Linked DNA regions of Schizosaccharomyces pombe. The protein of the gene in region 1 purifies or fractionates together with the protein of each later gene. This does not show direct contact. Each region holds a gene or a part of one and is shown in the gene's direction. Other genes may lie near its edges. The genes, in order: mmi1, pir2, ccr4 and red5.

What was found.
Region 2: the proteins of mmi1 (region 1) and pir2 purify together in Schizosaccharomyces pombe (affinity purification with mass spectrometry; 3 studies listed by BioGRID, with this or other methods). This does not show direct contact.
Region 3: the proteins of mmi1 (region 1) and ccr4 purify together in Schizosaccharomyces pombe (affinity purification with western blotting; 2 studies listed by BioGRID, with this or other methods). This does not show direct contact.
Region 4: the proteins of mmi1 (region 1) and red5 purify together in Schizosaccharomyces pombe (affinity purification with mass spectrometry; 3 studies listed by BioGRID, with this or other methods). This does not show direct contact.

What each region holds. Positions count from the first base shown.
Region 1 is NC_003421.2:336,588-345,064, reverse strand, and holds mmi1 (YTH family RNA-binding protein Mmi1), read left to right. Parts: upstream 1-4,952; 5' UTR 4,953-5,497; coding exon 5,498-5,582; exon of another isoform or gene 5,583-5,710; coding exon 5,711-6,670; exon of another isoform or gene 6,671-6,717; coding exon 6,718-6,833; intron 6,834-6,886; coding exon 6,887-7,035; exon of another isoform or gene 7,036-7,079; coding exon 7,080-7,236; 3' UTR 7,237-7,977; downstream 7,978-8,477. Other genes in the region: TOG/XMAP215 microtubule plus end tracking polymerase Dis1, read right to left, coding at 1-1,713, 1,981-2,031; SPOM_SPCC736.13 (dehydrogenase), read left to right, coding at 3,277-4,296; ago1 (argonaute), read right to left, coding at 8,053-8,477. UniProt on the Schizosaccharomyces pombe protein: RNA-binding protein that recognizes and binds N6-methyladenosine (m6A)-containing RNAs, a modification present at internal sites of mRNAs and some non-coding RNAs.
Region 2 is NC_003423.3:1,216,187-1,223,955, forward strand, and holds pir2 (C2H2-type zinc finger domain-containing protein), read left to right. Parts: upstream 1-3,218; 5' UTR 3,219-3,322; coding exon 3,323-3,386; intron 3,387-3,438; coding exon 3,439-3,546; intron 3,547-3,600; coding exon 3,601-3,631; intron 3,632-3,702; coding exon 3,703-5,329; 3' UTR 5,330-5,404; downstream 5,405-7,769. Other genes in the region: peroxisomal targeting signal receptor Pex5, read left to right, coding at 833-2,629; BAR adaptor protein Hob3, read right to left, coding at 6,174-6,920, 6,963-7,010.
Region 3 is NC_003421.2:635,826-643,924, reverse strand, and holds ccr4 (CCR4-Not complex subunit Ccr4), read left to right. Parts: upstream 1-4,301; 5' UTR 4,302-4,391; coding exon 4,392-6,464; 3' UTR 6,465-6,490; downstream 6,491-8,099. Other genes in the region: cut1 (separase/separin), read right to left, coding at 1-113; taf5 (transcription initiation factor TFIID subunit 5), read left to right, coding at 1,481-1,787, 2,001-3,094, 3,151-3,319, 3,369-3,633, 3,684-3,780; sec231 (COPII cargo receptor subunit Sec23a), read right to left, coding at 7,164-8,099. UniProt on the Schizosaccharomyces pombe protein: Acts as a catalytic component of the CCR4-NOT core complex, which in the nucleus seems to be a general transcription factor, and in the cytoplasm the major mRNA deadenylase involved in mRNA turnover.
Region 4 is NC_003423.3:1,046,385-1,054,115, forward strand, and holds red5 (zinc finger CCCH domain-containing protein), read left to right. Parts: upstream 1-5,218; 5' UTR 5,219-5,695; coding exon 5,696-5,738; exon of another isoform or gene 5,739-5,812; intron 5,813-5,948; exon of another isoform or gene 5,949-5,954; coding exon 5,955-5,984; exon of another isoform or gene 5,985-6,029; coding exon 6,030-7,087; 3' UTR 7,088-7,231; downstream 7,232-7,731. Other genes in the region: Erg28 protein, read left to right, coding at 1,151-1,292, 1,404-1,494, 1,559-1,736; dre2 (anamorsin family protein), read right to left, coding at 2,180-3,046; SPOM_SPBC337.11 (peptidase), read left to right, coding at 3,931-4,908; Gtr1/RagA G protein Gtr1, read right to left, coding at 7,394-7,731.

The sequences.
Region 1 (8,477 bases):
TCGTGTAGATAGAGATTCTTCTGTCAAACTCGCCTGTGATGGATTCGAGGATGGTAATGGTGAAGGTGCTTGTGGTGTAACAGCCAGTTTAACCGGTGATGTCTTTAAAGGAGAGGCCACTCGTGGCAGCCTGGGACGTGAGGGTTGATTCGGATGCGCATTCACCGTAATGTCCTTGGAAAGTTCTAATATTTTTGGTAACTTTTTAGGATCCAATCCCACAATATACTTGGACAACACTGGCTGACTAAAAATTTGCACAAGTGTTGCCAATACATTTGTGGTAGCCATTCGGACTGGCTCAAACGTATCGTTGATCAATGTCACACATAGGCTACATAGCGTTTCAAGCGATGCTCGAGGCGGACAAACATCCGTCAATTGTAGGCAACGATTCAGCCATCGAAGTGTCTCAGTTTTTACTTGTGGATTTTTATGCTTCAAAAATTCTAACGTCTCATCCATTATATCATTCAACCCACAGCTCTCAAAAATAGCATTGGCCGCATCCAGCAAAGAGTGCACCAAACTCGATTTTCTCTCTTTAAACCTATCAAATAAAGAAGGCAATACAATACCAGTATACGGAAGAAAGCCCTTCCTTAGCGCCTTGGCAATATGCGTCAATAATAAAGCCGCTACACCCACTACCACCACGTTTGCATCTTTTAGAGACTTTGCAATCACTCGAAGTAACTCACTATAGTCACCCTCTTGATAAACAGGATTGGAACACACCGGTACCATGCTTTCCAACGCTTCCTTTCGATCTTTCCACTTGGGAGAAGATAATGCGGTATGGAATTCTGGGGTTAGTTTGGAAAGAACATCAACGGGCGTACTTCCGACAATGTTTTTGGCAGGAGATACAATGGAACGGGAAGGAGATGCTGAAAAATCAGAAGGTTGTGAGACCTTTCGGTTAGGAGTACTGAAACTAGAAGTAGAGCGTTGCAGAGTGTTTCCCTGCGAAGATGACTTTGAGGACAAATGTGGTTTGGGTTTGGCATTCGATGAAAAAGAAGGAAGAACCACCTCTTGGGTGTTGAGGGAATTTGAAATATGTCCTCCCGTGGTCGTGCGAGATGTAACATTTTGAAAAGAGGCCTCAAGATCGGAGACCTGTATTTGCTTTAGTTGAGGAAACACATGAGTCTTGAATGCATTACCAACCCAAGCGTACAAGGTTATGGATAGATTCGAAGCTTCTTGCCTGATATTCTTATCTGATTGGGCGAACAAAGTAGGAATCAGTTTATAGAATGGAATAGGAGAAAGTGCAGGGATTCCAAAATTCTCCAATAAACTATTTAATTCTTTTATAGAAGCAACTGCCTGCTTGGGATGCTTAACGCGAGCCGCCGAAAATAACCCTTCTAATACATAGTCCAGCGCATCGGATTTAGCTAAAATGAGTAAAGCCTGGTGAGAAGCATCACGGATAGATTGTCTAGGAGATGGTAAACATTTTTCGAGTAGAGGAGCAACAACGAACGATTTGGCAGAATTAACTCCTTTTTGCCTAGACTTGTCTAAAAAGCATCGCAGAGATTTTACGGCATGCTCTTGTGTTGGTACGTTACTATCACACAGCCCTTGTTTCCATAATGCTGGGTCATGAATCCAAGGCTGGAAACAAACGTCTGAATCATCCAATGCTCGGTTCAATGCATGCAACAAAGACTCATATGCTTCAAATCGAACTTTCCAAGACTAAATAAATCAGTTAGAAACCTAAAAACTTAAAATAACCCACTACAGAAGTGAGATCCATCAATACTAGGGAGAACAGGTATGAAAAGAGTAGTGACGGAAACACAAAGCAATGAGTAAAACTAATTGAAATCGTAAAATACAATGGAATTGATCAACAGTGCCCTTAATGCCGTTGCAACGATATTTCCATTTGTTTGCTTTTCATTCCAGTTACATTTTTCTGGACAGCAAGCTTCTATCTCCATTAATTTGTAAAAAGCTTACCTTATCAAAAATTTGACTGAGAATGCGGCTATTAAAATCGTCCAACTCCATTTACATAAACAAATATAAATTAACGACTCGTATGTTTACAACCAGCAGAGCATGAATAGTTATGTAAAAGAATGAATTTTATAGACAAATAGAAAAATGAAAACGAATGAAACGGACGGGATTCTAAACAGTAATGAGTATGGCTCTGAAATTGGAGTTGTACATGTGTAAATAGAGACGACTAACTTTACGGACGACAATGTTTCACTCACACAGCCAGCACCGTAGAGTTAGCACAATTCGTTAGACCATCGTATTGTTGAATATGAACGAGCGCAAGATTACACTATTAGAGCAAAATGTAAATAAAGCAGAGAAAAAGAGGAAACCATCAATAATTTTAAGTTTTTAGAGTAATTTAATTCTTTAAATAAATAACTTTATCTTAAACCGTACCAAAATGATGCTAACAGAAGATGAGCACCCAAATGGAATGTTCACCGATATATTAAGCCTTATGCAAGTTGCTTTTTGAAACCGATTAATGTGCTATTGGGTGGCTCTGTAAGATGCTTGTGATCTAGTATAAGTGAAAAAATGAATTTCTAAGACTCTTACTGAATAAAACATGACGTTTAACTCGTTTAAAGAAGGGAATCCTATAGATTGCAGATTTTTAAGTTTTCGTTTCTATTCATACCTAAGTCTAATTTTATCTTTCATTTGCCCAATCTGAATTCGAGTTCTTCAATTACAATAAGTTCAAGTTATACATTTTTAAAAGGATTCCAATATTCTGTCGAGCACCCAATTCATACATTCAATTCTAAACAATCCATATTTCGTTTTGTAAGCCAAGTAGTCAAAAGTAGCTAGTCGATGTAATACCATGCTTGATCAAATTTTCGGTCCGCAAAGAAGCCGTGTTACGCCTTGAGTTTCTTGGATTTTGAAGAAATTTGTCAGCGGTCATTGTATAAATTACGAATTGCTTCCTCTTCCGCTATCGTCACTCTTTGCAACTTATCATCTGCAGCCACCCTTACCCATATTCAACATATTCGACGAGAACGATATTTAAGTGTTTTCTAGAACTTAAGAACGCTTATTAAAAGAAAATTGTTGATTTATTCTTGAATCTGTTCCAAACTTGATCGATTGATTTCATAATCGCTACAGTTTCGAGTTAAAGACATTGGTAATAAGTTTGTTCTCTGGCCACTTCTTTGCAATAAAATCCTCCCCGCTCATTGTTTATAAAGTTCTTTTTTTTTAATTGATATTAGCTTCAAAAATTTCTTTACGATGTCCTACAGTTTTCAGGGATTGCTCAACCGCGTGAATGAGAGCGCAATTGTAAATACTCTCAAAGAGTACACCGGTCTCAATACACCCAAATGGACCTTTAACGATATTCCCGATCTTACGGGTAAAGTCGCTCTTGTCACAGGATCTTCAGGTGGCATTGGTTATGTAACTGCCCTCGAGTTGGCTAGAAAAGGCGCAAAGGTCTATCTGGCTGGTAGGAACGAGGAAAAGTATCAAAAAGTTATGAAACAGATCCACGATGAAGTTAGACATTCCAAGATCCGTTTTCTTCGTTTGGATTTGTTAGACTTCGAAAGCGTGTACCAAGCAGCTGAGTCTTTCATTGCCAAAGAAGAGAAATTACACATATTGGTCAATAATGCTGGTATCATGAACCCTCCCTTTGAATTGACTAAAGATGGTTATGAACTTCAGATTCAAACCAACTACCTTTCACATTACTTGTTCACTGAGCTCTTGCTCCCCACACTCCGTCGTACTGCAGAAGAATGTCGACCTGGCGATGTTAGAATAGTTCACGTCGCAAGCATTGCATATTTGCAGGCCCCTTATTCTGGTATCTACTTCCCTGACCTAAATCTCCCGCATGTACTTTTGGGTACTTTTGCTCGTTATGGACAATCTAAGTATGCCCAGATCCTTTATTCCATTGCTTTAGCCAAACGTTTAGAAAAATATGGAATATATTCCGTTAGTCTACACCCAGGTGTTATCCGTACCGAGCTGACTCGTTACTCACCTACCTTTGCTCTCAAATTGTTAGAGAAATCAGTCTTCCAGTATTTACTTTTGGATCCAATCAGAGGCGCCATGACTTCCTTATATGCTGCAACCAGTCCCGAGATTTCCAAAGAGCACTTGAACGGCGCTTACTTCACTGCAATTGCTCAGCGTGGTATTCTTCATCGCGCTCATGATGATGCCTTTGTTGAGGAGCTTTATCGCTATACTCATAAGATATTTGAAGATCTCAAGTATTTAGCTCCTTCTCCATAATTCTTTTGCTCGTAATCTGAACAATGATGAACGCTTCTTGAACCACTTAAACTAGTAAAGTGTTTCTACCTCCTCATATATTTTTAGTTGTCTTATGTTGGAATCCCTTTATGATTACTTTATATTAGTAATAATATTATACAATTTCGTATTGCTTAAGAACCACAAACAGCATTTCGACTTTGTCGCTACATCGCTTCTTCCCTGGTAACAGTAGGTTTGATCTCTTACTTTTCTGTCTGTCAAAGCATTGGTATTGTGTATTAGCCATTTTATCCACACTTTAGTCGACTGTATTTTAATTTACAAATCAAATATTTACTTTATAATGTTGATGGTAAATATGGAAACGACTAGTCGACATTTGACCATTCACTATTTACACTCAGAGCAATTTTTTGTTTTTTTAATCTTAAAAAAGAATCTTTCTTTTGAGTATCTCTCTGTGCCACGGGGCATTTTTTGAATCTGCCGAACAAATTTGTAAGAAATGTGAATTTACAAGGAATACTTATTAAAAAGTAAAACTCTTTTAAAATAGAAATTTTTTTATTTACTCAGTAATTGATGGTTTTCATATTCATTTGTTTTATCAAAGTACTTCGTATTCGTTATTACCCGTAATCAAATTACTCTCTCACGATTATCTGCACCTTGCCTTCTTCCAGAAATCCAACACTAAGGAGGCTACTAGTAAACCCTATAATAAAGTGTTTTATTAAACATTCAAACATTATTTTGAAAGTTGACGGGAAATAGCTAACTTTTGAAGAAAGTGAAAAGCTATAATTGGTGATTTTTGGGCTAAACATATTTTTTTTTCTTTTTTTTGGGGCTTGGTCTTCACTTGACTTACCGCTATTCTTTCAAGAGTATATCTATCTTGCTAGTTCTTGCTTTTTTATTTCTCTACTCGGCAAGACTTTTAAAGTAAACGATAGTGGTTGATATAAATTCAGTTAGTGTATTGACCAGCAATTTTGTTTTTTGGGGGGTTTTTTTGGTTCTCTCTTTATTTTTTTTTGTAAAAAAAATATAAAGCAAGGGATTTTGGTGAATATTTATTAACTTAATTTAATATTTATCACAATCTTCTGGCTTCAACTCATTTTCCGTTACTCAATTTACAAATTTTTAGCATTTTAAAGAGGATTTCAAAAAAAAAAGATTATACTTTTTATCACACATAAAAGAAATTTGAATGTCAAACACAAACTTCTCTACTTCTAGGTCATCAAAGTCCATTCCGGAACTTCCAAATTTGGAAGCTCTGCGAAGCCTGTGGCGTAAGTAGATTATTGTTTAAAATATCAGAGAGGAATGTAAAATAGTGTCATTGAAAATTGACTGACTTTTCGCCTAAAACCTCCTACTGTTTAATTTTGTCGAGAATTTTACTAACCACCTTATATAGCTCCACCGTCATTGAACGAATCGGGCGATACTAGAAGCGTATGGACTACTCATACCGGAGAGCCTGTTGCGTCAAGTGTTCTATCTACTTCAGGTTCAAACAACTTTTCTTCACCTCTGAAAAGACCTGCACCAGAGTCACATGACGCTCCTATCGGTAGAAGATTGATGGTAGATGATCCCCGCTTAATTAAACATGGTAAATATGATTTTAGCAGGCATTGCACTGACTATGGTCACTCCTACGAATGGCCTTATTTTCGATCCCTTCGTCGTGAGTCTATGCTTTATCACACTTCGGGATCTTATCCAGAAAGTCAGCCTCCTTACTCTTCTTATTCAACTGATGCTCCACATTATTATCATGCAGGTTCGGAATCCTCTGCTTACTATGATAGCCGTTCTCGTTTGCATGGCATACAACCTCCTCCCAAGCGACGCACACTTAGTCCTCCCCCTAGACGGCTTGCGGACCCAGTGGTTGTTGGAAGTTCTCGTTATGTTGAAGAAGAAGTATACAGAAGGCCTCCTTACACTTTAGCTTCTGAAGTTCCTTCATCCGCTTCAGCATACCAAGCTGGTTACTCTTCCTATCCTGTTCGATCTTCCCCCCAACTTTCTCATGAAGACACTCGTCATGGTATTGCAAGCAGTGGTTCAACAAGGTATCCTTTTGTACCTGCTAATACTCGTGCATCTCACTCCCCTAGTTTGCTTGAACCTTATGCTCACTCCCTTCCCTCTTCGGTCGCGCCAGTTGGAGCTTATCCTGAGAAATCTTCTTACCTGCTTTCTAATTCCAGCAATGATAGTGCCTCAAGAAAAGAAAAACCCAAAGCTCGTGCATCTACGCCTCCTCCATTAAATTTTTCCAGAGCAAGCGAACATAGAAATGAGAAGGGGGAACGCATTTCGATGATTAATCCCCGAGTTGTTCTTGACGAAAATGGAATTTCACACCGTAAGGCTTAGCCCATTAAACCAAAACAAATAATTCTAACAACTTAGGCTCCCGTTATTTTATTATGCTATGTGACAACGAGACTGCCATTGCTCATGCTAAAAAAACTTCTATTTGGGCAGTCAAGAAAGATTCTTCCAAAAGAATTTCTGATGCATATAAGGTTTGTCTTTTATTTCCCTTAAACGATATAGTTTTATACTAACACTTTAACAGAAAGCCAGTGTTTATTTTATTTTTGTGGCTCAGCAAACGTACAATGCTTTAGGATATGCTCAGGTAGTCAGCGACCTAAATAGCACCGAACTGCCCTTTTGGTCAGATAGCTCGCATGCTGGAGGTGTTCGCATCAAGTGGATTAAAACGTAAGTGTTGTACTTTTGAAGATTTCTTCTGCTTACCTAACTAGTTGCAATCTGTTTTCTGCTGAAATTTCTGAAATTGTTAGCCACATGGATCATGGGTCTGAAGCTAGAGATGGCATGGAAATGATGTATGATGAAGGCAGCAGACTTTGTACGTTGATTAACTATGCTATAATGAAGCGAATTGGAAGAGACCGTTGATATCTCCCTTTTGCTGGATTTTCAAGAATGTTGGATGCTTCCTTTAACAAAATTCATGAAACTATATACTATTGGAGCGGATTGATGTTAAATGCAGTGGATTTGCTTAATAAAGCATTCCGTATAGGTCGCTCATCAACATTAAAGATTTAACATTATTAAAAAGTTTTTCTGAACAATAAAAAAAATGCACACTATAATGGTGTTAATTTTCAATCTTGGAGCAAATCAGTTAAGTAAAATTATCATTATTGACTTGTTTTTGCTCCTCTAAACGAAATCTTAACACAGTATGCAATGTTTGGTTCTTGAACTTAACCCAAATACTCTAAAAAATTAGAAATTCTGATTCTCTTCAAACAGGCTGTTTTCAAATTTGAATGATTTTGCTTTGAATGATGTTTTTTCTTAATAAAAAAGCTAGATGAATCTGAATTAGACAAATAGGTAAATTGGTTGTTCAACCATTGTGCATGGAATTTATCGATTTTAATCACTTCTTCTGAGATCCTTAAGTATCATTTAGTTTATCTGTATTTCTATATTGGCGTGACACTTACATAAAGTTCGGGCTTTGGGTTAAGTGAATGTCATTAGTATTATCGTTATCAACATTTGTTGATCGTTGGAACATGGTCAAGCTATCAACAGTGGATAGAGCATAAAAAAACTAACATTAAATGATTAAAGAAAATTACAATAATATAAAGCAAAATAAAAACAGAAGCAGATTTAATAAGGAAGTAAAAGTTGTGGGCAATCCAGTAGTCAATCGTATATCTATTTCATTACTTATTGCATGCAATCCATCAAACATTACATATACCACATCTTTGTTTTCAATTTACTTGATAGAGCTAAAAGCGGCTTTACTTCTTGATCCATTGATGCTTCTGATGTCTCAACAAAAGTATCATCGGCTGTCACGTCTTGATAACGGGCTAAGTTACTAACCAAATGCGCATAATAAACAGGTGGAACCAAGGAAACAGCACTTGTTGCTCTTGCATAAACATAACAAAGATTATAACACAGTGTTTGGAATTGGTCCGGTGGCATCTGAATTTCGTCGTGCAAAACCGTGTAGTGAACTGGGACCGAAACGCCTTGCAGAGATGGGTGGGATATAAGGTAAAAATCGTACTGATAGGGGTGAGTAACATGCTTTTCAATAATTGTACCAGGGAGGGGATTTCCATTTCTATCTCCGTCGGATTTGTTCTTAATGAAGAAACGAGCGT
Region 2 (7,769 bases), on another chromosome or scaffold:
CACAATTTGAACGAGCGATTTTTAGCACTTTAATTAGCGACAGGTTCTTTAACAAATATTTGTCGGATGTGAACTGTAGGTGGCATCAATTGGTATTAAGCAGAAAACAACCAAAACCATTGTTACAGCGAATATTGACTAGCGAAAATTAATTAGTTTTTTAATACATTTTATTGTGAGCGACAGAAGTATTTGGTGATTTAATTCATTTGGCGTTGTAATTTAGACAACAGGTGAATAAATAGATGTAGAGTTAATACTTCAATCCAACCCTTGGTTTAACTTTCTAATCACACTAATTTGAAAAGAACTTAGAAATAATATGGATTTTTTTCTCTGTATCATAAAGCTATGGTTTTAACATATGCAGCATGGTTTACAAAAGTATAATAAAATGTTGAAATCTAAATTCCTTAGTGGCAATAGATTAGTCTGAAAAAATAAAGAGAAAGTCTTTATTATAAATTGATATGGGTTAATGTGGTGTATTACAGAAGCGATTAATCTAACGTGCTACGCTCAGCATCTACATGAACTGAGCGCACTCATCTAAATATTTTTGTAATTGGTAATAAGCAGCAATACATGCCTGAGTTTATACGCAAGTTTTGTAACAATCATTGGTGCGATCAATTTTTGTTTTTTGGTTAGTTGCATCGTTACTTCTTCCGCTTTTTTGTTTTCATATTTTTGGTTTTTAAAACACATCGCAAATTCAATCAAGTTGCGAAATTTTTCATTCTTTGATATTAATTTTCTTACAACCTACTTAAAAAACTATTTCCTTTTGGTCGAGAGCCTTTATATTGGCTATAGTCTACTTTCTTCAAAAATGTCTGTTGAAGCAGGATGTTCAACGCTATCTAATCCTCTTAAGAAATTGACTTCCACAGCTGTTGTCAATAATTCAACACCTTCAGCTCAATATCGAAAACATTTAACCAAGTCTCAAAGTCGTACTTACGCTCCTTTGCAAACGCTGTCTGAGGATCAATTCACATCTTTCAAAAATCTCCAAGGAAACAATAGTCCTTTAGGTAATGTAGTTAAGAACCCAGTTAGCTTAAAAACTGGAAATCATACCGGCACAACTACTCGTGGAGGCTCGAAAGAAAATTGGGTACATTCTTTTTCTTCTCTTCAGCAGCAGAATAGTAAGTCGGCTTGGACATCAGAATTCTCTGAAGTATTTCTCAATTCATCTGAAAACGACCGTTTTCGAAACTTAAACCAACCTTTAAAACAATCTTTTTTTGGTTCCGCTGGACTAAATTTATCTTCAAATACTGAAATACCCTTACAAAGTTCTTTAGCTATTGACGAAACTGAGTTGGCTAAGAAATTTGAGGAAGCTTCTCAAATCTCCAATAAATTAGAGAAGGAAAAGGATGCTACTGGAAGTAAATCAATTGAGGAGCTATGGGAAGAGCATCAAAAGCAATTGAAAAACGCCGGGCTAGAGCCCGCAAGTTTAGAGGAATACCAGAAACAATGGGAAGATTTTTTAAAGTCAAACAATATTTCTGACGATCCTTACACTTCGTCTGTGAATAGCTTTGCTAATGATAATTTAGCTCATAATAAAAACATAGATCCTCAAATTTTCCAGCATAGCGATACTGATAACGTTGTTGAAAACTCTTTACAAACGGAAGATGTATATTCACAGAACCAAGATGAATCTTCAGAGGTTGTGAAAGAGCTAAACGGAATAGATCCATTTGTTGAAGCCATGAATTTAATAAAAAATGGAGGATCTATCTCGAAAGCAGCTGTGTTATTGGAACAATCTGTGAAAGAGAATCCACAGCACTTCGAGGCCTGGAAATGGTTAGGTCGCATTCATACTCTATTGGGAAACGAATCGCGGGTTGTTGAAGCCCTACTTGAAGCTGTCAAATTGGATTCAACCAATCTTGACTTAATGATGGATCTTGCTGTGTCTTATGTTAATCAGTCTCTAAATGTTCAGGCATTGGTTTGCTTAGAAGACTGGATAGTCAACAGTTTTCCCCAATACCGAAACAGGTTTGCAAAGATAAACGAAAGGTTTGAAGAGAAAGATTCTGCTAACGATCTCTTGAAAATGCAGATGTATTTCTTGGATGTAGCTTATGAGTTATCACTTGCTAAGAAGCGTTCCTCCAAGGTACAAGCTGGATTAGGAATAATTATGTATATGTTGAAGGAGTATGAGCGTTCTGCAGATTGTTTTCGGCAAGCTCTTCAAGACGAACCAAGTAACGAAATATTGTGGAATAAGCTTGGTGCTGCTTTAACAAATGCAGAAAAAAATACTGAAGCTGTTTCTTCCTATAATCGGGCAGTATCTCTACAGCCCCAGTATGTTCGAGTTCGCTCAAACATGGCTGTTTCCAACATCAATTTAGGATACTTTGAAGATGCTGCAAAACATCTACTTGCTGCAATTGATATTATACAAAACAGTTCTACCTCAATGGAGAGCTGCGAATCAAATGAGGAACTTTGGGAAATGCTTCGCAAAGTATTTTTGATTGGATTCCAAAGTACTGATCTTGCCTCTCAGTCCTATCCTGGAGCAAACACTAGTTATATACGAGCCCAGTTAAGTGATCTCCAAGGTTGGCCCGGTGTTGAGCTCGAATAAATCTCTTAAAGCAAACGTGCTTAATTCATTTTTCATGTTATTATTTATTTGGTTGTTTTTTTTTTTAAATTTTTTGTCTGAGGCATATCTTTTAGAGGACGTGCAAAAGCTACTTTTTTTTTGTTGCACAAGAAATGAGATAACTTACGCTTCAATATCTGAAGCAGAGAACAAAAGTAAAAGAAATCTTACTCTATGCTACCAAAGTTACTATTGGTATGCAAGTTGTACCTTTCTTGACCGTTTATACAATGGAAATTAGATCTTCAGTGATTTGAAAACAGATGTTATTGTTTACTTTTGTGAGAGTGCTTCTAAGCTCTTTGTAAGCACAGTTTTTTAAGTAATCCAACATTGTATTTATTGACGATAATGAGACAATGTTTAGTATTAATTGTTCAATAGCATTCGCATAAAATTCGAAGTCTCACTTTTTTGTTTAATCATTTGCTTTTATAATCTCAGTTTATTTAGATATACTGATGCGTATAATAAAGTATTTGACAATTTTCTATATTTTGAATAATGAAACTTAGTGTACCAGCATAAAGTGCTGTATGGATATTTCTCTCTCGTAAGAACATTCTTCAACTAAGCAGGTTGAGTACCAATTTTGACCCAATTGAAATCATTAGTTTTTTAATAAATTAATCCCGATTGCTGGTATTTATAGAAGGGGAACAGTGTCAAAATATGAGTGAGGTCCATCAAGAAAGTGAAGTAGAGTACAGTCGTTGGAAAAGAGAACGCTCTCCTGGTAAGTTGTTAATGTTTAGTTTGATAGAAATACTCATCCTTTTTTTGCATAGAACGGAGTCAAAGACGTTCACAGAGCCCCCCTGGTGAACAGTCTGCGTATCATCGAGAACGGTCTCCTCTACGAAAGCGTGGTAATTACTATGATGATAGAACAAGAGGTAAGAATAAATATAAAATTCTATGAATTGACCTATTAACTACAATACGTCTAGCTTCTGGACCTTACCCTACATTTACTAAACCGTAAGTTACGACTAAATAAATACTCTACTCGATGTGAGTGAAAAACCAAAGTTTTCTAACAAGGAGACTAGTTTAATTGATCCATATACTCAAACAAATGCGGTTTCTTATGAACGGTTTATTCGGTGGTATAGCAAGGAAAACCATATATCCGCAACAACTGAAGACTTATACAACTCGCTTCATGGAACTTACAACAATTATAAACAGGATCTATACGCTAGGACCGCAAGAAGTTTTGTTGAGAGCCATTGTGACGAAGCTTGGTTTGAAGACAGCTATTGGGTGGACGAGTCACAAGGAAGAGTCCTTGAAGTGTCTGAAAATGAGAAATCTTATCGCCGGGCGTTATACGATAAATTCATGGACAGATTAGACGCCGGTTATTATGATGATTTTCAGCTTCCAACCGCTGAGGATGTAATCGAAAAGCCGTCAATACCTGATAATGATACAGATGACTCAATTCTTCCTTCTAACGACCCGCAACTTTCCAAATGGAACCAAGACTCTCGAAACGATGCAATGGAAAATACACTATTGGTCAGTCATGTTTTGCCCAACATCTCGGTTGCGCAAATTCATAATGCACTCGATGGTATTTCGTTCGTACAACATTTTTCCCTTTCTACTATTAATTTAATCAAGAATGATGAACGCTCACTTTGGGTTCATTTCAAAGCAGGAACAAATATGGATGGAGCTAAAGAAGCGGTGGATGGGATTCAATTGGATTCAAATTTTACTATTGAATCTGAAAATCCAAAAATTCCTACTCACACGCATCCCATACCTATTTTTGAAATCGCTTCTTCTGAGCAGACATGTAAAAATTTGCTAGAAAAACTAATCCGTTTTATAGATCGGGCTAGTACGAAGTATAGTTTACCAAATGATGCTGCACAACGTATCGAAGATCGATTGAAAACACATGCATCTATGAAAGATGACGATGATAAGCCGACGAATTTTCATGACATTCGTTTAAGTGATCTGTACGCCGAGTATCTTCGCCAAGTGGCTACTTTTGATTTCTGGACTAGTAAAGAGTACGAAAGTTTAATTGCTTTACTGCAGGATAGTCCTGCAGGTTACTCGCGGAAAAAGTTTAATCCATCCAAAGAAGTCGGTCAAGAAGAAAATATTTGGTTGTCAGATTTGGAAAACAATTTTGCTTGCCTTCTTGAGCCTGAAAATGTGGATATTAAAGCAAAAGGGGCATTACCCGTTGAAGATTTTATTAATAACGAATTGGACTCTGTTATTATGAAAGAAGATGAACAAAAATATAGGTGTCATGTCGGAACATGCGCGAAGCTTTTCTTAGGACCTGAGTTTGTCAGAAAGCATATAAATAAAAAGCATAAGGATTGGTTGGATCACATTAAAAAGGTGGCTATATGTCTCTATGGATATGTGCTTGACCCATGTAGGGCTATGGATCCCAAAGTGGTAAGCACGTCGTATGTATCCTTACAGATTTTAAACAAGCCCTACGTTGGTTTCAGAAATATTAACGCAAACTATACATTTCCAACAACAAGCTATAGTCGACGAAATGACGAGGAGATAACTTCTGGAGCATCATCACAAAAATCTTATTCGAGGCAAGAACCCATGATCCACAGACGGGAATTCTATAGAACTTATCAAGATTTGGATGCGCCTAACCAGGAGGTTCCAGAATTAGATTACTAAATTTATGTTCTTAGTCAGAAAGATTTTTGGTTAATATCATTTCCTGTATAGACGTTACTAGCAGTTGTAGCTCCATACTATATTTTAGATTTTAAAGTAGCGATAATCTACATTCACAGCTATTGTAAAATTGAACGCTTAAGTCCATGTTCGAAAATCAAACATCGAACGCTGCACAGATAGAAATAAACCCACTTCCAACTTGACTTACAGCTTACAAGATAGCTATTGTTTGGAAAATTAATAAATTACAATTCAAATTAATAATTCGTAAGTCAACAAAAGCATTTTTTTTTCTAATTATTATATTTTAAGATTTGGTCTAAACTTACTTAACAATAGTTATTTATTAGAACAAAACTTGGTACGAGATAGAAAATAAGCACAGTTTAGTAGATGAATCGCTGGGTCGACAGACAATATTGGAAAACCAATTTGTTTATCTGATAATTTGATAACTATTCCCAATTAAAAAATTATAAAGGAAACGTTACGAAACTGAAAGGATGTAGAAGCTTCACAGTTGAGTCTTTAATAAATATGTGCTGGCTTTCCCTTCAATTCCAGTAACACCAATAGAAAATACTCGAGGATAGATAAGTATGGAAAATATTTATGTATCACAAAAAATTGAATAAATTGAAAACATTCCGTGAACCACTTCAGATAAACAAGATAAGATGGTAATAAAGTAGTAAAAGAGAAAGGATATGTTAAACAAAAAGTATTGAGGGATAAGAGATCATGGTTACGTGTAGTAACAATTATTTCGGAGGAGAAAAGGAAAGAGAAAACAGAGTGATAGCGCTATGCACACATACAATCGTGTTTAAAAAACCGATGTCTACTGACTGTTGTTCAAACCGGCGATGGAAAGATCCCGCATACTCTGTAAAACTTGTTCAACTTTATCATCCAACAAACCATTGGAATAGTCTTCGCGTACAGAGTTGTCAAAGTATTGCTGAACTTGAGCCATTTTCTCATATCCCTCCCTACAAAAGCGGAGCTGAATTTTGACAAGGGCTTCAAAGCTAGGGTCCAAATAAGGCACACGAAGAGCAATTAGTTGCGGAAGCTCACTGACCAGTTGATTATTGAGTGTCTCGTAGACCTCCTTCGCCATGGCTGCTTCTTTCTCGGTACGGGGAAGCTTAGTAGTGTCGTTGGAAGGCTTGTCGACCAGTTTTTGAACCTTAGCCCTCATAGCATCATGATCAAGTAATTTGTGATTACGCTTCGTGATAGCGGCATTAATATCGGGAAAGTAACTGCAGAACCTTGAGATGGGATCCAACACCGTTGTCCGGAAAGGACCGTCCAACTCTTTTACGGTATCGGCGTCCAAGTCTTCGACGACTTGTCGATAGTATGCACTGACACCATCCTTCGATCCAGCATCACCGTAAAATGCATCGATTGTGTTAGCGATTCTAGTTTGAGACGCAGTCATGGCTCTCAAAGCATCGAGATAACCTTTGGCTTCTTTTTGAAGCTTCTTTGCAGCTGATTCCATAGTTCTATAACGTCTTTCCTCTGTTTCAAATTCCCGATCCACCGTTCGCTCAACATGACCCGTCTTCATCATAACCTACCACAATGTTAGACAATTCTTCAACACTCAAATACATACCGAGGTACCCGCTCGGTTAACGGCCTTTTTGAATCCATGCCAACTCATTTTTGTGATATGGAAAAGAGAAGCGTCGGCATACCCAGATATCTTATGTCAGTTGATCGCTGCGCTAATGTTCGCTAGCTAAGCTGCATTGGATCTTTTAGTGGATTCAGCAGGATTCGCGTAGGGAACAATTCACGGAAGCAAAGCCATAACGTAAAGCCTGATTGCGAAGTTTATCATTGCGTTAAATAGAATAATGATAGTTTATTTCACAATGCAATTATAAAAAGATAAGGATGAAAAGCGTGTCGTTAATTTTGTGTTTAATTGATAGAGCAAGAGCATAATGGTGGTAAATTTGGGTTTCGAGGGTTGGCTTACTTTCATGTCACTATCAATAAATTACATCGCTTAAAAAATATATCTAAATTTTTCTTGTATAATCATCTGTAGTAAATCTCTGACTGCAATTAGAGGTCTATCCTCAGATAATTCTTGTTCACTAACTGCATCCAGCAGAAATCGCCTTATAAGGTAATATAGTTATGTTATAGTTTAATATAATATATCAATGTAAACATTTTAACTTGACAATATAGAGGTAATATCGTTTGCTCATAAATGGAAGATATTGTGGAGAAGCAATTTGAAATACGGACATTTTACCAACTTATAAATTTCATTAGAAGTGGTGGAATAAATGGTTTTGCATTATATGGATATAATGTTTTGAGGCTTCGACATGGAAAGACACGATTGCTACTTATCAATATATGAGATCATTCATGATAAAACTATAAAGAAAACGCTTTTCAGCGA
Region 3 (8,099 bases), 300 kb from region 1:
GCCTTGAGTCGCTTAACGAGAGTAATAGAGCAATGCTCAGGATAACTGAGAGCTGAAATGAACTTCTCTGGAGTCCAAGAAACTTTACTAGTAACGATTGACCTTGTAGACATAATGGAAACGAATGAATAGTAAAAAATATTAACCAGCAACAGTTACAACAATAAAAGGGATTTAAATTATTTAACGCCGTTCATGAAGAATAGGTTGCAAGAAATAACTAAGCCAATAGCAAATATCGACCAAAATATAAGATTTAATAATTTGACAGTGATTTTCAGTTCGCAAAGTTATATTACTAATTATTGAGAAGAGGAAAATATTAGTGACTTAAAAATCATGTAGATGTTTTATTATATGCTTATGAAAAGTAGATTAATCGATCTTCCCAACCAATAGAATATTATCAGCATTAATTAGAACATTGCAATAGTCGAAATTTGGAGCTGTTGGTTTTTATTTCGTCTAAAACGAAAAAACTGTCAAGTCGTCTCGCTGGATGAAGATAGGCTAGTTGGTAGCAAGGATGCTTTGGATGTTAAGGCAAATGAAAACACAGTACTTACCACCAAATCCCTAAAACTGGTCCAAAAGAAAGAAAACTGTAAAGAAGAAAATTAAATATAATTAAAAATGAATGTAAATAATTGATAGTTTACAGTTATTATCTACAGTCCATTACTTCATCGCAACCTACTATTTGTAAATTTCAATAATGTAAATAAATATATCAATAAATAAATAAACCGATTAAGACTCAAAACCATACAAATCTGTAACAGGAAAAAAAACATATAATTTCTGATAAACTCATTTTATCAATGCTACATCAATTTTTGTTATAAACTAATGATTTTGAAGGAAATATGAAATTTCCCAATTTTTTGAATTTTTTAAAAAAAACTTCTACATTTTCCCTATTTAAATTTCAACCCAACATTTAGTTTTATTTTAATAAGGGGCCCTACTATAATTTAATTAAAAAATTATAAACATCCCGAAATTGGGATGAAACTTCTAAAAAAAAAGTAAGTGAAAGTTTTTAAAACCGAATTGAAAATCAAAAAAGAATTTTAAAAAGTATCTAATTGAAAAAGTTTTACTATGCAAAACTTTTATTTATTTATTTTTTTTTTCTAGCGTTCATTGCCTCGCAATCCTGTGTTGACATTAAAACAATTTCATAGACAGTTCATTTTTGAGTAGGACAAAAGAAATAGTAATTTAGATAGGATTTCGACATCAAAACGCTCACAGACACTGTGGAACCTTTCCAAATTTCAGTTATTCATAAATCCTGCAAATTCCCAATTTAGCGTGGTACACAATGGTATGTTAATAGACACGAACTCGACATATGCTACTTCCTAGCAAGTTGCTTTGAGCTCTGCGCAGGTAATTATATGAATCACGGTCATTTGTAGATTTATATTTGGATTCTAATTAATTTCTTCAAGCTAGAGTATTGGAGAATTTAACCATGTCTGCCACTAATGGGCCGCAACCGCAGGATCTGAACAGAATTGTTCTGGATTACCTTGCGAAGAAGGGATACTCAAGGACCGAGGCGATGCTTCGTTTGGAAGCATCGGGTTCTGGCGTGTCAGTAGAGGAGAAGTTAAAAAGCATTGAGGAAACTCCAGATGCATACACACACACGTATACGATCTTACGAGACTGGGTGGATAGTTCGTTAGAATTGTACAAAGCTGAACTTCACAGGATATTATTTCCTATATTTGTTCACTCATATCTTAATCTCTTGTCTCAAGATCATTATGAAGCTGGTAAGTTGGTCATATTGGAGGAGGTTACGAATTTGTTACATGTTTGTTTCGATGATCTACGAACAAGAGGGGTATTTGAACTATTCTAAATACTTATTAGTTTCTTTATCTATTGAGTTTACAACTTGTCTTTATTTCTGAAACTCATTCCACTTGACCACCCATATTTAATTCTTTATAAGGATAAATGATAATTTTACTAACGTGCTATAGCAAAGCAATTTTACGAACTCTTCAAAGACGATCATACTGATCTTCATGACTTTGATGTAAAAAACTTAAAATCGCTGAGTCTTCCAAGCCATGTCGCAGAAGACCGCACTGCTCAACAATACCGGCAAAATAAATATCAACTCCATTTTTCTAGGATAACATTTGATTTATTGCTTCATTTCTTATTTGAAAACGTTTCAAACGGTGGGTCAATTATCATTAAATTAATCAATCAGCATATAGATATCCATATCGTTCCCGGACGTCCCACCGTCTTGGAAAATGCTAAAGTTATCAATGAACAAGAAGGTATTACCGGCCAATCCTTTGAACGAGGAGATGCTCAACTTCAACCTGTAAAGCTGCAACAAATGCCAATGGACAAAGAAATGGAAAAAATTGTAGAGATGGACTTAGAAGAAGAGGATATGATGCACCAAAACGATCCAAATAACCAATCTCCAAAACTATTAAAAGAATTTAGAAAGCTGCATGAACCTAATGCTGAAGATGCTCCGTCTAGAGATTATATCCCTCTTCCTCCTCATAAAGGTGTTGATATTCTTTCAGAAGTTGAGGCTGTGAAAGATTGGAGTAAAAGATTACATCTTGGACCTAGAGCCTCCCTTCCTAGTGTTTGTATGTACACATTCCATCACACCAATAACAACATGAACTGTGCTGAATTTTCTCCTGACTCCACAATGATCGCCTGTGGTTTTCAAGAAAGTTATATACGGCTATGGTCAATAAAGGCTGACAAAAAATCATTACCTAAGTCAACTTCTGTAGAGGATTCAGATGGCTCAGTACGTTTACTGAGTCATTCTGGTCCTGTTTACGGCACCACATTTTCTCCCGATAATAAATATTTACTATCTTGTTCCGAAGATGCTAGCGCCCGGCTGTGGTCTGTTGACACAAAAACTGCTTTGGTAGCTTACAAGGGACATACTGGCCCGGTTTGGGATGTTGCCTTTGGTCCGTTTGGTCATTACTTCGCTACTGCTTCTCATGACCAGACTGCACAACTTTGGAGCTGTGATCATATATACCCACTTAGAGTTTTTGCTGGGCATTTAAGTGATGTAGACGTATGATTATTATCTTTTTTAAGAAATGTGTTTCCTTATGACTGACTTGTATTTAGTGCGTTACCTTTCATCCAAACTCCGCTTATGTGCTAACTGGATCAAGCGATAAAACATGCAGGCTTTGGGATGTACATAGAGGACATTCTGTTCGTGTTTTTAATGGACATACCCAACCGGTAACTGCTGTTGCGATTGCCCCAGATGGTCATACTATGGCAAGTGCTGGTATGTTATACATTTGTTATTACTAATGATTTTACTAATTTGATTAAAGACAGTGAAGGTCTAATTCACCTTTGGGACATAGGAACAGGAAGGCGTATAAAGACAATGCGAGGTCACAGAGGCAACATATACTCTTTGTCATTTTCTCGCGAATCCACGGTCCTCGTTAGCGGAGGGTCAGATTGTACTGTGAGAGCTTGGGACGTTTTCAAAACTAATTACAACAATCCTGTTTCTTCTTCTCTAACGGGAAGTGTTGTTACACCTTTCTCTGCTAAAACATCCACATTTAATGAAGTCAATTGGTCTACAAGGTATGAGAAAATGTAATGGAATCGATATATTTACTAACCTTCTCAAACAGTCCGGATCAAATGGTAGCTCTTTATACGAAGCAAACCCCTATATTTAATGTCTCCTTTACGCGTCGTAACCTTTGCTTAGCAATAAGCGTTAGTTAGATAAATAAACCTTTTTTGATCTTCAATATGTTTCTTCCCGTCCATACTTTAAGAAATTTGGCATTATATAAAAAAAGATTATAAAAAATTTAATTTAAATATTAAACATTATCTTACTTTACGATAATGAGTCAACAACTAACTGCCTTTTAACAACTTTGAGACATCCATGTATCGGAATCGAAATTAGGCTGAATAATTCATATTTGATGTTCCGGAAAAGCTTTTAATATTATAAACTTCATAAAGGACTTCTGATGATACATTATATATTAAATTTTTCAGTAGCTCCAATATTTACATAGACCATAACAGCGCTAAACATAAGCTAAAATAATTTCATGTTTGGACCCTAAATTATATTATTTAGAAAAAAAATTAATAATATGAATTAATTGAAAGCATTCATATGCAATTATATACCTAAAAAACGATTAACAGGACACTGAGTTTTCGTCTCAAATCTTGGTGGTGAGCTTTCGTATCCCACCTATAAGCTATCACGGGGTTCGACTCTTGCCGTTCACCAACAACCTCACTTTTATTGTATATATAGTGAATGTTGTAAATTAGAATTCATCTCGACTTTGATATTTTGCGAGATACCGTCTATGTTTAATCCTAGGTATACGCAAGGTACAATTTATCCAGGAGCGCACCCGGGGCTGTTGACGCCAGACCATCAACATGCAGCAATATTATCTGTACAGAATTCGCCAGCTTTAGAAAATAGTAATATTTCTGAACATTGGAAACAGCAAATTGCACTTGCAACTCAGTCCAGGTCCTTCAGTTCACCACACCAACGAGCTCATAATGCTGCGGCTTTAGCACGAAGTGGAGGACCTGGGTTTTCGATGAATTACAATGCTCGGACTGGAGCTTTTACCGGAGGCCCTAATGCTGCTGGCTTATCCTCGTTAGGGGGAAAGTACAATACTAGCTCCACTACTACAACATTGACGACCTCAACAACATTAAACACTTCCAGTGGTACTACCTTAAACAGTACGTCAAAAACAACCACTTCTTCTGTTGCGGTTGATGACCAAAAGTCGAAATCTGACTCTAAGAAAGAGAGACGGGATTGGACTTGTTTGGACCTTGGTGGTATTGGTTTGAGAAATGTGAGCACTGATTTATTTAAATTCTCTTTTTTGACTGAATTATACATAAACCATAATAATCTTACCCGATTACCACCTGAAATTGGCAAACTGAAGAATTTGGTTATTTTGGATGCCTCTGGAAACAGCATTAAAACTATTCCACCAGAGCTTGGTTTACTTACTGAGCTTAGAGAAGTCCTATTGTTTGATAATATGATTAGTGTAATACCTGCCGAACTCGGTACCCTTTTCCAATTGAAAATTCTTGGTATTGAAGGTAATCCTCTTCAAGACGTTTACAAGAATCAAATCATGGAAAGTGGTACTGCAGGTTTAATTGCTGCTTTGCGCGATGGTTGCCCTGTTGGCCCTCCTCCTCCTGAGCGTGGATGGGAAAAACTTGTTTCCGATGATGATGATGATGTTAATGACAATGTTTCAACCTCTGTTAGAGATTTAACGGCTGCTGATTCTAACAAGCCCTCTACAACATCTAAGAATCTCAAGTTTACTATTATGAGTTATAATGTGCTTTGTGAACGTTATGCTACATCCACATTGTATGGCTATACTCCTTCATGGGCACTCTCTTGGTCGTATCGCAAAGATTTAATCATGCAAGAATTAGGTGGTTATAATGCTGATATCATTTGTTTGCAAGAAGTTGATGTTGAGAACTATGATACTTTTTTTGCTCCACAAATGAGTTTGAAAGGTTATAAAGGTGTCCACTTCCCGAAAAGTCGCGTACGAACTATGAATGAGGTTGAACGTCGCATCGTCGATGGTTGTGCTACATTTTTCAAAACATCTAAATATGTCATGCACGAAAAGATGGTGATAGAATATAATCAAGCACCATCTCTTCGTAGGCAAGACATTAAACTAACGTCTAACATGTACAACCGTGTTATGACTAAAGATAACATTAGTGTGATTACTCTTCTTGAGAATAAGGAAAATGGATCGCGATTGATCGTTGCAAATTGTCATATTCATTGGGATCCTCAGTTTAGGGATGTCAAGGTTATACAAGTTGCAATGCTCATGGATGAGATTGCACAGGTTGCAACAAAATTCCGTAATATGCCTTCCAAGATTCCTTCTGACCAGTTAAAGGATGAAAGACCTACCTATCCCGAGTATTTAAAGATCCCCATCTTAATTTGTGGAGATTTTAATTCCGTCCAAGGCAGTGGTGTTTATGACTTTTTATCATCTGGTAGCATTAGCCAAAATCATGAAGATTTTATGAATAATGATTACGGAGAATACACTGTTAATGGACGTTCTCATGCATTTAATTTGAAATCTGCATATGGTGAATCTGAAGCTCTCTCCTTCACTAACTATACACCTGGCTTTAAGGGTGCCATTGATCACATTTGGTACACCGGCAATAGCTTGGAGGTAACCGGTTTGTTGAAAGGAGTGGATAAAGATTATCTTTCCGGCGTTGTTGGTTTCCCTAACGCACACTTCCCTAGTGATCATATTTGCTTGCTGGCCGAGTTTAAAGTGAAACAGGAGAAGACACCCTTACCTTCATCAAAGTTTAACAATGATAAAAAATGATTGTTAGTTTTTGTCGTGTTTGTAGATTTTAGAGTGATACTTAGTAGCAAGTAGATGGATTTGATGTATGATTCTGCATTTCGCAAGTACCAGGTATTTGGTTAAGTTTACATAGATATCAAAGCAGTGTAATTTTCCTTGTCGTAATAATTTGAATAGATAAATTGTAAATCATTGAGGTTTCGTTTTTGTTTACGTAGTTATTCGTTTTACTTTTATTGGAAATTAGCATTAACAAGGGGTGAACCGCCACACATCGTACTGATGGTTTGCATTAAAACGTTGATTTTTTTATTTTCATAATAAAAATGAGCTTCGCCATTTCATCAACATTCAACCATCTCTAAAAATCGATTGTGTTGAAGATATCCTTATTTTGCTCAACATAACTTCACAAAAAATTCATAAAATATTTATCTATTTTAAAAAACCAACAAATTACAACGAGCGTAATACTAGAGAAATATAACATCAGTAAACGAAATAATATTGATAAGCAAGACTATGCTATCCTAGACTCAAGCCAAAAGTGCTGAAATTTTAATCATTCATTAATGTTTATAATAGTCAGCTGGAGAGACCAAGAAGTTTATCAAACATAAAAAGCTTTTTATTTATGAGAATCACCAAAAGACTAAACTTCTTAAAAACGATGACTACAAGTAAGGGCTGGTAGTTTATAGATTTCATAAAGTGCATTTATGAAACAGCTACGGCAAGTTTTTTCAGATGACTCATGAAGGTTTGTAAGGAGACATCATCAGTTAAAATAGCATGAGCAGGTGGAGCACCATACATAGACGTAGTGTTGTGCGTTTCAGAAGGATTAAGGCGAGAAAGAAGAAACCGTGCCTGACTGCCTCCCTGGTCACAAACGATAAATCGAGGGATCGGGAATCGATCAATAAGCAACTCCGCTGCTTCGACTCTAGGAGCTTCTAAAAGTTCTTTTAGGTTTTGGTATTCAGGCTGATTTTGATAGCCAGCATTTCTCCATTGGGCTATAGTGTCCCCATGGAAAATTAGAATATGGAAGAAAGTATCGAGCAAGAGAATAACATCCGGTTTTACAGATACAGCGTCCAGCAGCACTGGAACGCCACCAGGGTGTTCGAAAGAAAATGATTGCAAGGTAGGTTGAATCATAATAAGAGAATTGTTAACATCTTCATGGTTGAGCATGTGACGATAAAATGCAGTCTCATCTGGTGAATTGTTAAAAACTTGCAGAAAGGGGCTACGTCGTAAGTAATACATAAATTGAGGGTAAAGGGTAAATTGTGAAGAGAGACGGAAACTTGACGGATCATCTTTTCTATACTCAGCAAACTTTTGACAAAGTTTGATCAGCATTCGGTCGGTCCATCGAAGGACGTCAGGTCCATCATCGACTTCCGCTTTGAAAGCTGCAATACGAGCCATAGCAACAGCAGCAGCTTCTTGATCAAATGAATTTACGATCAATGGACTACCTCCATCAGCAAAAGCGCGAGCCACTGTTGTTACACGAAGTCGGAATGTGTTTGATGAATGTTGATACAAGGTTAGATATTGTACCAAACCTCGAGAGTCCCCCTGAGGGGCAGAGGCACTTTGAGTAGCTACTTCAAAGTAAATGGCATAAGTGGACTTTGG
Region 4 (7,731 bases), on another chromosome or scaffold:
GACAAGACTATAAAATCATGTGCGATTTAAAAGACGAAAATAAAAAAAAAGTCGACAATACGAACGATTATTAAAAATCGTTTTACATCCTTAAAGTATTGTTTATCATCATTAGAAGCATAATCCGAAAGATACCATGGTCTACGATATATGTGCTCTTTGTAAATTTTGATGTTTATACTTTTTTTTGATGTGGGTCAGGTTTGTGACTGGGAATTTGGAGTAAGCTGCGCTCATGCTTCTTAGCGATAATTAGCATAGTTTAATGCTTTTTTAATGAATAATTTATATAGATGTTAGGTTTTAAAACGCAGATTTCTTATTCATATGGAATTCTACTAATTTCTTATGTAGCACACGGAGTATAATATATTTTGCTAATCAATAAGTTAACCGCCAACCTGAAATATTAGAATACTCATCTACTTTGAGCTGTTCCAGGTTACAATTGTACAAGTAGTATCAACCCATCCCTAGTATTTACATAAGTGTTTCCGTACAAACGGTGGGTTACTTACAATAAGATCATTAAAATAATTAATTCTCCTGATTATGGTTCTAAGGTTACTTGGATTTTTGAAAACTCTACTATCAAGTTATGTAAATTAAAAATAGTAAAGCCGGTACTTAATAAAAGTATACATTCTTGCCATTTTTTGGACAGCAATTCGGCTATGTATATTTGATCCTTGGTAGAATCCTTTCGTGTTTTTACTAAGATATACGAAAATATAAGTAGACGAGGATCTCTTACTACCTTTCTAATTGCTAATGTGCTAAGTCAGCCCCAGTTATCACAATCGTACAATGTCAACAATTCACCGGGACGTTACTTATGCAATAACCTAGTTGTAAGGATATTCTCACCGGTAAATCCCAACCCGAAATCAGCACTGAAAAAGAAATCTCTTTGAAACCTCAGTAAAAAAGCATCTCTTTTTACATTGAAAATAAGCTTACTTTGTTGTTTTATTATACTAAATCTGTCTTAGCATAGCGATATAAAACATAATGTTCGCATCGATTTTACTAATTAAGTTAGTGCAAAACCTGTCAATGTTATAAATTGCTCACAGTCGCTTTTCTCCAATTTAGTACTGTAATCCCTCAACTACACACTACTAGAAATTTAATATCCTAAGAAATAACAATGTCTCAAATACTAGCTATGCTCCCAGATAGTTTAGTTGCCAAATGGAATGTTGTGGTCAGTGTAGCGGCGCTTTTCAATACCGTTCAATCGTTTTTGACTCCAAAGTTGACTAAGCGTGTATATAGCAACACTAACGAAGGTAAGAATCATGGTTTTTACGAGTTTAATTGATTTATAATACACATAATAAGCTCTTTAATGATGCTTTTTTTTATTAGCTGATTATTTTTTGCTGACTTTATATCTGTAGTCAATGGATTACAAGGTCGTACTTTTGGCATCTGGACATTACTAAGTGCCATAGTGCGTTTTTATTGCGCATATCATATAACAAATCCAGAGTATGTTGAATCAAATCAAACATTCAATTTCCAAAATCATCTGATATTGTCTAACTTCTATTAGTGTGTATTTTCTATGCCAATGCACATATTATTTAGCCTGCTTTCATTTCCTATCTGAATGGCTTTTGTTCCGTACTACTAACTTGGGACCAGGATTGTTGAGTCCAATTGTGGTATCGACCGTTAGCATTTGGTTTATGGCGAAAGAAAAAGCCTCGATTTTGGGGATCGCTGCTTAACCTTTTTTTACTCCCCCATTTTACGTATACTATATTGCTTGGAGAGAAGAGAAGAAAAAGAATCAACATAAATCCATCATTTTTATGCCTTCGGGCTTTAATGCAATGGTTCTATTTCTAAACCATTCTTCAAATTTTTAGTTTAGATTCTAGAATGTTGATGATTTTAAAAAAATTAAGGAAAAGCATGGTGTCTTGTTTTTCGATTTCTTTGCCCAAAGACATAGTAGGGACTAAAAACCAATAGTAATATAACCACTTCAACTTCAATTTGCAACATTGTTAGTTCAAACTTAACCAGAACTTACAAAATCATAGCAAATATCGGAATTAAAAACAAATGTTAACAAAAAAAAGTATTTAACTTTAGTTTCAATTAGGCAATAGAACTGCAGTACGGTCATTCATAAACCGGAACATCTCAATTACAAGATAACCATAAATTAAATGTCATCAGCCATCCAGGACATCTTGTCACGATTTTCAGCCAATATAACTGTGTCACCGGGATTGAAGGCAGGCATTCCTATATACGGGCATCCACTACAACGAAAAGCGTCGCCAAGATAGCAATTTCCGCAACTTGAGACGGCATTTTTACTCTTGAGCTTCTCGGTGAAATCAACTTCGGTGGTGTCTGTAAGTTTTACAGCTTCTAACTGTGCGGATGTCTTGGAAGACTCGTGTTCTTCCATTTCACGTAATCCACAGGTACAGTTCTTGCAAGCACGCTTTTTCTTTCCAGGTTCAGGTTTGCACTCGGGCACTTTTAAAACATTATCGTGGGCACTTTCGTCTAACAACTCATCTTCATCGATGAGTTCTTGATCATCATCACCACTAATAAGGTTTTCCTTGTCAGATTTTAAGAAATCAAGAATTTTGTTTTTGCTCGCTGATTGACCATTTTTGTTTGATAATTTAATGGGAACTGCTTCCACCTGATTGGGACGAGATAAAATCCAAGGACTCTTTGATTCAATAAGCCATCCAGATAGCAAAGCTGTCATTTCAAATGACTCGTCTGCTTCATCGGCAGTAGAATAAACACGAAGTGTTCCTCCAGGATGTACTGATGCAAAGGCTTGTGAAAGTATAGGTCCTAGAGTTGAAGACCATGCACCATCATCAATGGCAGCAATAACTGAATCATATCGATTGATGGGTAAATTAACAAGTTGAGATTGGACGCGATCTATCATTTGCAACTCTCTAGAAGCACCATTATCGATAAGGTCAAAAACTTTTTTCAAAGACTCCTCTTTTGAAGCAAAGCCGGGAGACGTCAAAACAAGGACAGAAGATGACATATTGAGAGAAGATATTAACAGCTTAAACAAAAGCAAAAAAAGTAATTAAAATTATTATATTATTACACGTTTCAGCGAAATGAAACCCTTAGCAATTGGTAAGTAAACCCACCAACGAATACAAAAAACACTATCAATAATAAAAATAAAAACGAAATCTAGATCGTTGTAACGTATGTACAGACAATTAGAAAAAAGTCAAAAACTGTCTTCCTTTTACCGGTCTGAAAGTGGTAAAATTTTTCTTTTAATCAACGGATAAACAAAAAAGTTATCTGTAGATATAATATGAAAATTTCCACGCCTTAACGTTATGAAATGATCAATTATAGAGAAATAATACTCAAACAATAAAAAAAAGGAATGATTAGTATTTTGTTCTTGTTAAATTCTATTTACCACAAGTGGCGACGCTGTAAATTTAACCTGTTGATTGGTAATCCGTCAGCATGTCTTAAAATGAATAGAATCCAATCATGTGGCACTGTAAGGCATATAGCTAAAACAATATTGTGGTTTTCTTATATATCGTTATTTATGCTTATGAAGTACTGCGCATTTCGGTAAGTCATTGATTTCTACTTTGTTCATACTGATCGAACAAGTCAACGGAATCACCGGCTAATCGACTGAAATGTCGGGTCAAGTGAAAACTTGTGTTGTACTTTTGGCTGCACGCAACTATTTCCAGCTTTGAGAACCATTTTTTTGGTAATTTACATTTAATAGTCAAATATTTTTAGCCCTGTGTTTTTTCGAGAAATTTGATATTCGTATTTTGCCGTGGGTGTCATATACAAATTACATATCGACTGTATAAGATAATAATGATAACTTTATGTAAGACTAGAGGGTTTTTTACTTCAAAAAGAAGGATTTATTAAATGCAATACTATCAAATGATGAAGGCGTTACGAATGTTAAAAAAACCGAAGCCAGGTTGTTTGGGTATTGAAATTCAGAGTGTTCCTATTCCCCAACCAAAGAATGGAGAGTTGCTTGTAAAAATTGAAGCTGCTGCCATCAACCCCAGTGATCTAATGAACGCAACAGGGGGTTTCCCGTATACTGTTTATCCTCGAATCGTTGGGCGAGATTATGCTGGTACTGTAATTAGTGGCGCATCTCATTTAGTAGGAACTCGAGTGTTTGGAACGAGCGGTAGCGAACTATCATTCACTAAAGACGGTACTCATGCTGAATACTGCATAATACCGGAAAAAGCAGCTGTTCGTATGCCAAGCAATTTGTCGTTTACTGAGGCAGCATCAGTCGGTGTCCCTTTTACAACCGCTTATTTGGCTTTAAGCAGAGGAGAAACCAAAGGCAGCGATATAGTACTAGTGGTTGGAGCCTTAGGTGCTGTCGGGTCGGCTGTTTGTCAAATAGCAGAGGATTGGGGATGTAAGGTAATCACAGTGTCTAGGAGCGGCTCAACCGATATCAATACAGTGGTGGATCCGGAATTAAAAAGGGTCCACGAATTGGTTGAGAAAGTTGATGTGGTAATCGATACGGTGGGCGATCCTTTGTTGATGAAATCGGCTCTCAATCAATTGGGAATAGGGGGAAGGTTGTCTTATATTTCCGCACCTAAGCAAGGGAGTATAGAATTTTCGTATGACATGAAACAAATATATCGCAAAAATCTGAAGATTATTGGGTGCAATTCTCTCTTACTTTCGTTAGTGGAATCAAACTCACTATTAAAGAATATGGTCGCCAAGTTTGAAGCAGGGAAATATAAGGTATTAAACAAGAAAATTGCTGAAACATCTCTTACTGATGAATGTATAAATTCATATAGAAAACTTATGAATGAATGTTCTACAAAGTTTGTGATTACTATGAGCACAAATTAAGCGTCCGAAATACAGACTTACCAAATTGTTTTTTCTGTATAATCAGTAAATTTTAAAAGAACTATAAATATTTGCTTTGATCTTTCATATCGTTTATTATTATTATTATTATAAAGAGGTATCTATTCGTTAATGAAAAAAACAATTTTGAGCTACGCTTTAAAGAAGGATTATTTAAATTAAGTAAAAAGGATTTCATTATAATTAAAGCAATATTGTTTTAATACTGATAATTTAAGATAGTTTTTTTTAAAATATCGTTATAAAGCGTCGGTAATTACATTGATGCTACTCCGACATTGTTGGTGCCACCGACTACGCTACTCTAATCTGTCGACTTAGAAATACCTTACCACATCTAATTACTGTAAGAATTTATTTCAAGGACTTTTTCATAGTTTTTTTGTTTTTGTAACGACGTTTTCAAAAAGGTCATTGTCAAACATATAAGCTCTTGCCTGTCGTTAAAAAAAGTAAAGACCTTGGTTAATCGTTGTCGTTCAATTATTTGGGCATTTAACTTAAACAGTTTTGTTTAAGGAAAGGTTCTCAAAGACTTTTTTTTAAAAGATTCACTTATAGAACGAAAGACCATTAAAGTGGAAAACCACTCATTTTAAAACATTGAGCAAACAAGAGCTTTTGCATAATATATCAAGTGGTGGTTTAAAACAGGAAATACTTGGACGATTCAAGTTCAATAAAAGACATTAAAGCTGTTGGTTTATTTTACAAAAAAAAACATCCGTTCGTTATATTTATTTATTAGTTCTAGGCGGCATTCACAATGAACGAGCAACAATTGCTGGAAAATATTGCTTCATTAGCTGGTACGTTTTGATTAAATTGTATTAACGTCTTTTGATTGTCTGTTATACAGAATAAATTTGGTCGACTTTGAAGTTGGATTGGTTTAACTAATGAGCTTTTTGGTTTTTGAAACCAATGAATAATTAGGATTTTCAAGGAGACAGATTTTATGCAAAAAAATATCTTTATGTTTCTTTATTTATGAAACGCTCAGTAATAATATAACTAACCTTTAGGTGCTATCAATCAATATAAAAATGAAAAAGGTAAGATGCCCATTTATGAGGAACTTTGACTCATGATTTTAGCAGAACCTACCCAGGTTTTAGATGCCGCTAAAGCAAATAAGAATACTCGTTCGTATCCCTATTCTGTTTCTAGGAACTATTCTTTTATCCTCAATAAATCCAATCGCTCGAAATCGACAGCTGCTAGCCCTCCATATGTGATACCGTCAACATCATCGAATGCAGACGATGCCAATAAGGAACCTGAAAAACAATCCACATCTGACTATGTATCACGGAAAAACAGACATATGCAACTGATTAAAAAAAATATTCTTGAACATGATTTGCAAGCGAGAAAAGCTAATTTGGAGAGCTACAGAGCCAAGCTTGAGAAAGAATACAAAACTTTAGCCGAAAATAAAATCCAGCAAAGATTATCCGATGGTACTAAACAATTAGTAACTATTGACGGACTGCAGTATATTACCGGTGTATCTGATACCAAGTGGTTGGAATTTGTTAGTGCTAAGGGACAATGTCCAAAATATTTATATTGGAATAATAAGTCTTATCTTCTTAAAAAGAAGAGGTTTCTCAAGGAGGTTGGAAATTCACCTTCAGCTGTTTATTGCCGTTATTATAATGCTAATGGAATTTGTGGGAAGGGAGCAGCATGCAGATTCGTGCATGAGCCCACCCGCAAAACGATATGTCCGAAATTTTTGAATGGTCGATGTAATAAAGCAGAAGATTGTAATTTGTCACATGAATTAGATCCCAGACGAATTCCTGCATGCCGGTATTTTCTATTAGGAAAATGCAATAACCCAAATTGTCGATATGTGCACATTCATTACTCTGAAAATGCCCCTATATGTTTTGAATTTGCCAAGTACGGTTTCTGTGAGTTAGGGACGTCTTGCAAAAATCAACATATTCTTCAGTGTACCGATTATGCTATGTTTGGTTCGTGTAATAATCCACAATGCTCTCTCTATCATGGTGCTGTTTCCGCTGATGTACCAGAACAAACAGAAGCTCCAATATCGAAGACTGCTGGTTCTATAAATCCAGAAGACTCTGGATCGGAAATTGGAAGTAATTCCTTAGAAAGCAACTTGGATTTTATATCCGTTTAGATAATTCGTTTAGCAGTTTGATCTTGTAGAATTAAATTATCGTGTAGTTACGCAATGTCTAAACTTTTGATGATAATGAGTTATAATTTTCTATTAATTGAATACAATAAATTTTTAAAAAATATCATAAGATTTAGAAAGAAAATAGAAAAAGATTTCAACTAGTTGATAAAGAATATTATTTTTTAAAGACTAAAACTAAGAGGCTAGGTAATTACAGCAACAAGAGTAAAATACATTAGATCCACATTTTTTACGATTATCAAAGAAAAAAGAACAAGATTGATGGATCTATCAAACGGAAAATTAAGGTTGCAGTTGAATACCGTCCGAAGCGCTCTTTGAAGCTTCTATAAATCGTCGAGCACTTTGAATGTTCATAAGGGTTACTGCTGATTCGATTTCTGGATCAGCAATGACCACCAATATGTATGTGTCCTCAGTATATGGAACAATGAATGCAGAGAAATTACCACCACGAAGCTCAAAAGTAGTAAATTGAGCTTGCATTTTGCTACAACTGAGTTTAAATTGCTTAACAATATTGCTAATTTTTTCGAACCTGTGAGCATCAGTGGCAGGATTGGACTCAGAAGAATAAGAAGAAATAACCAAAAATGTTGTTCTTTCAAATAATATTACCT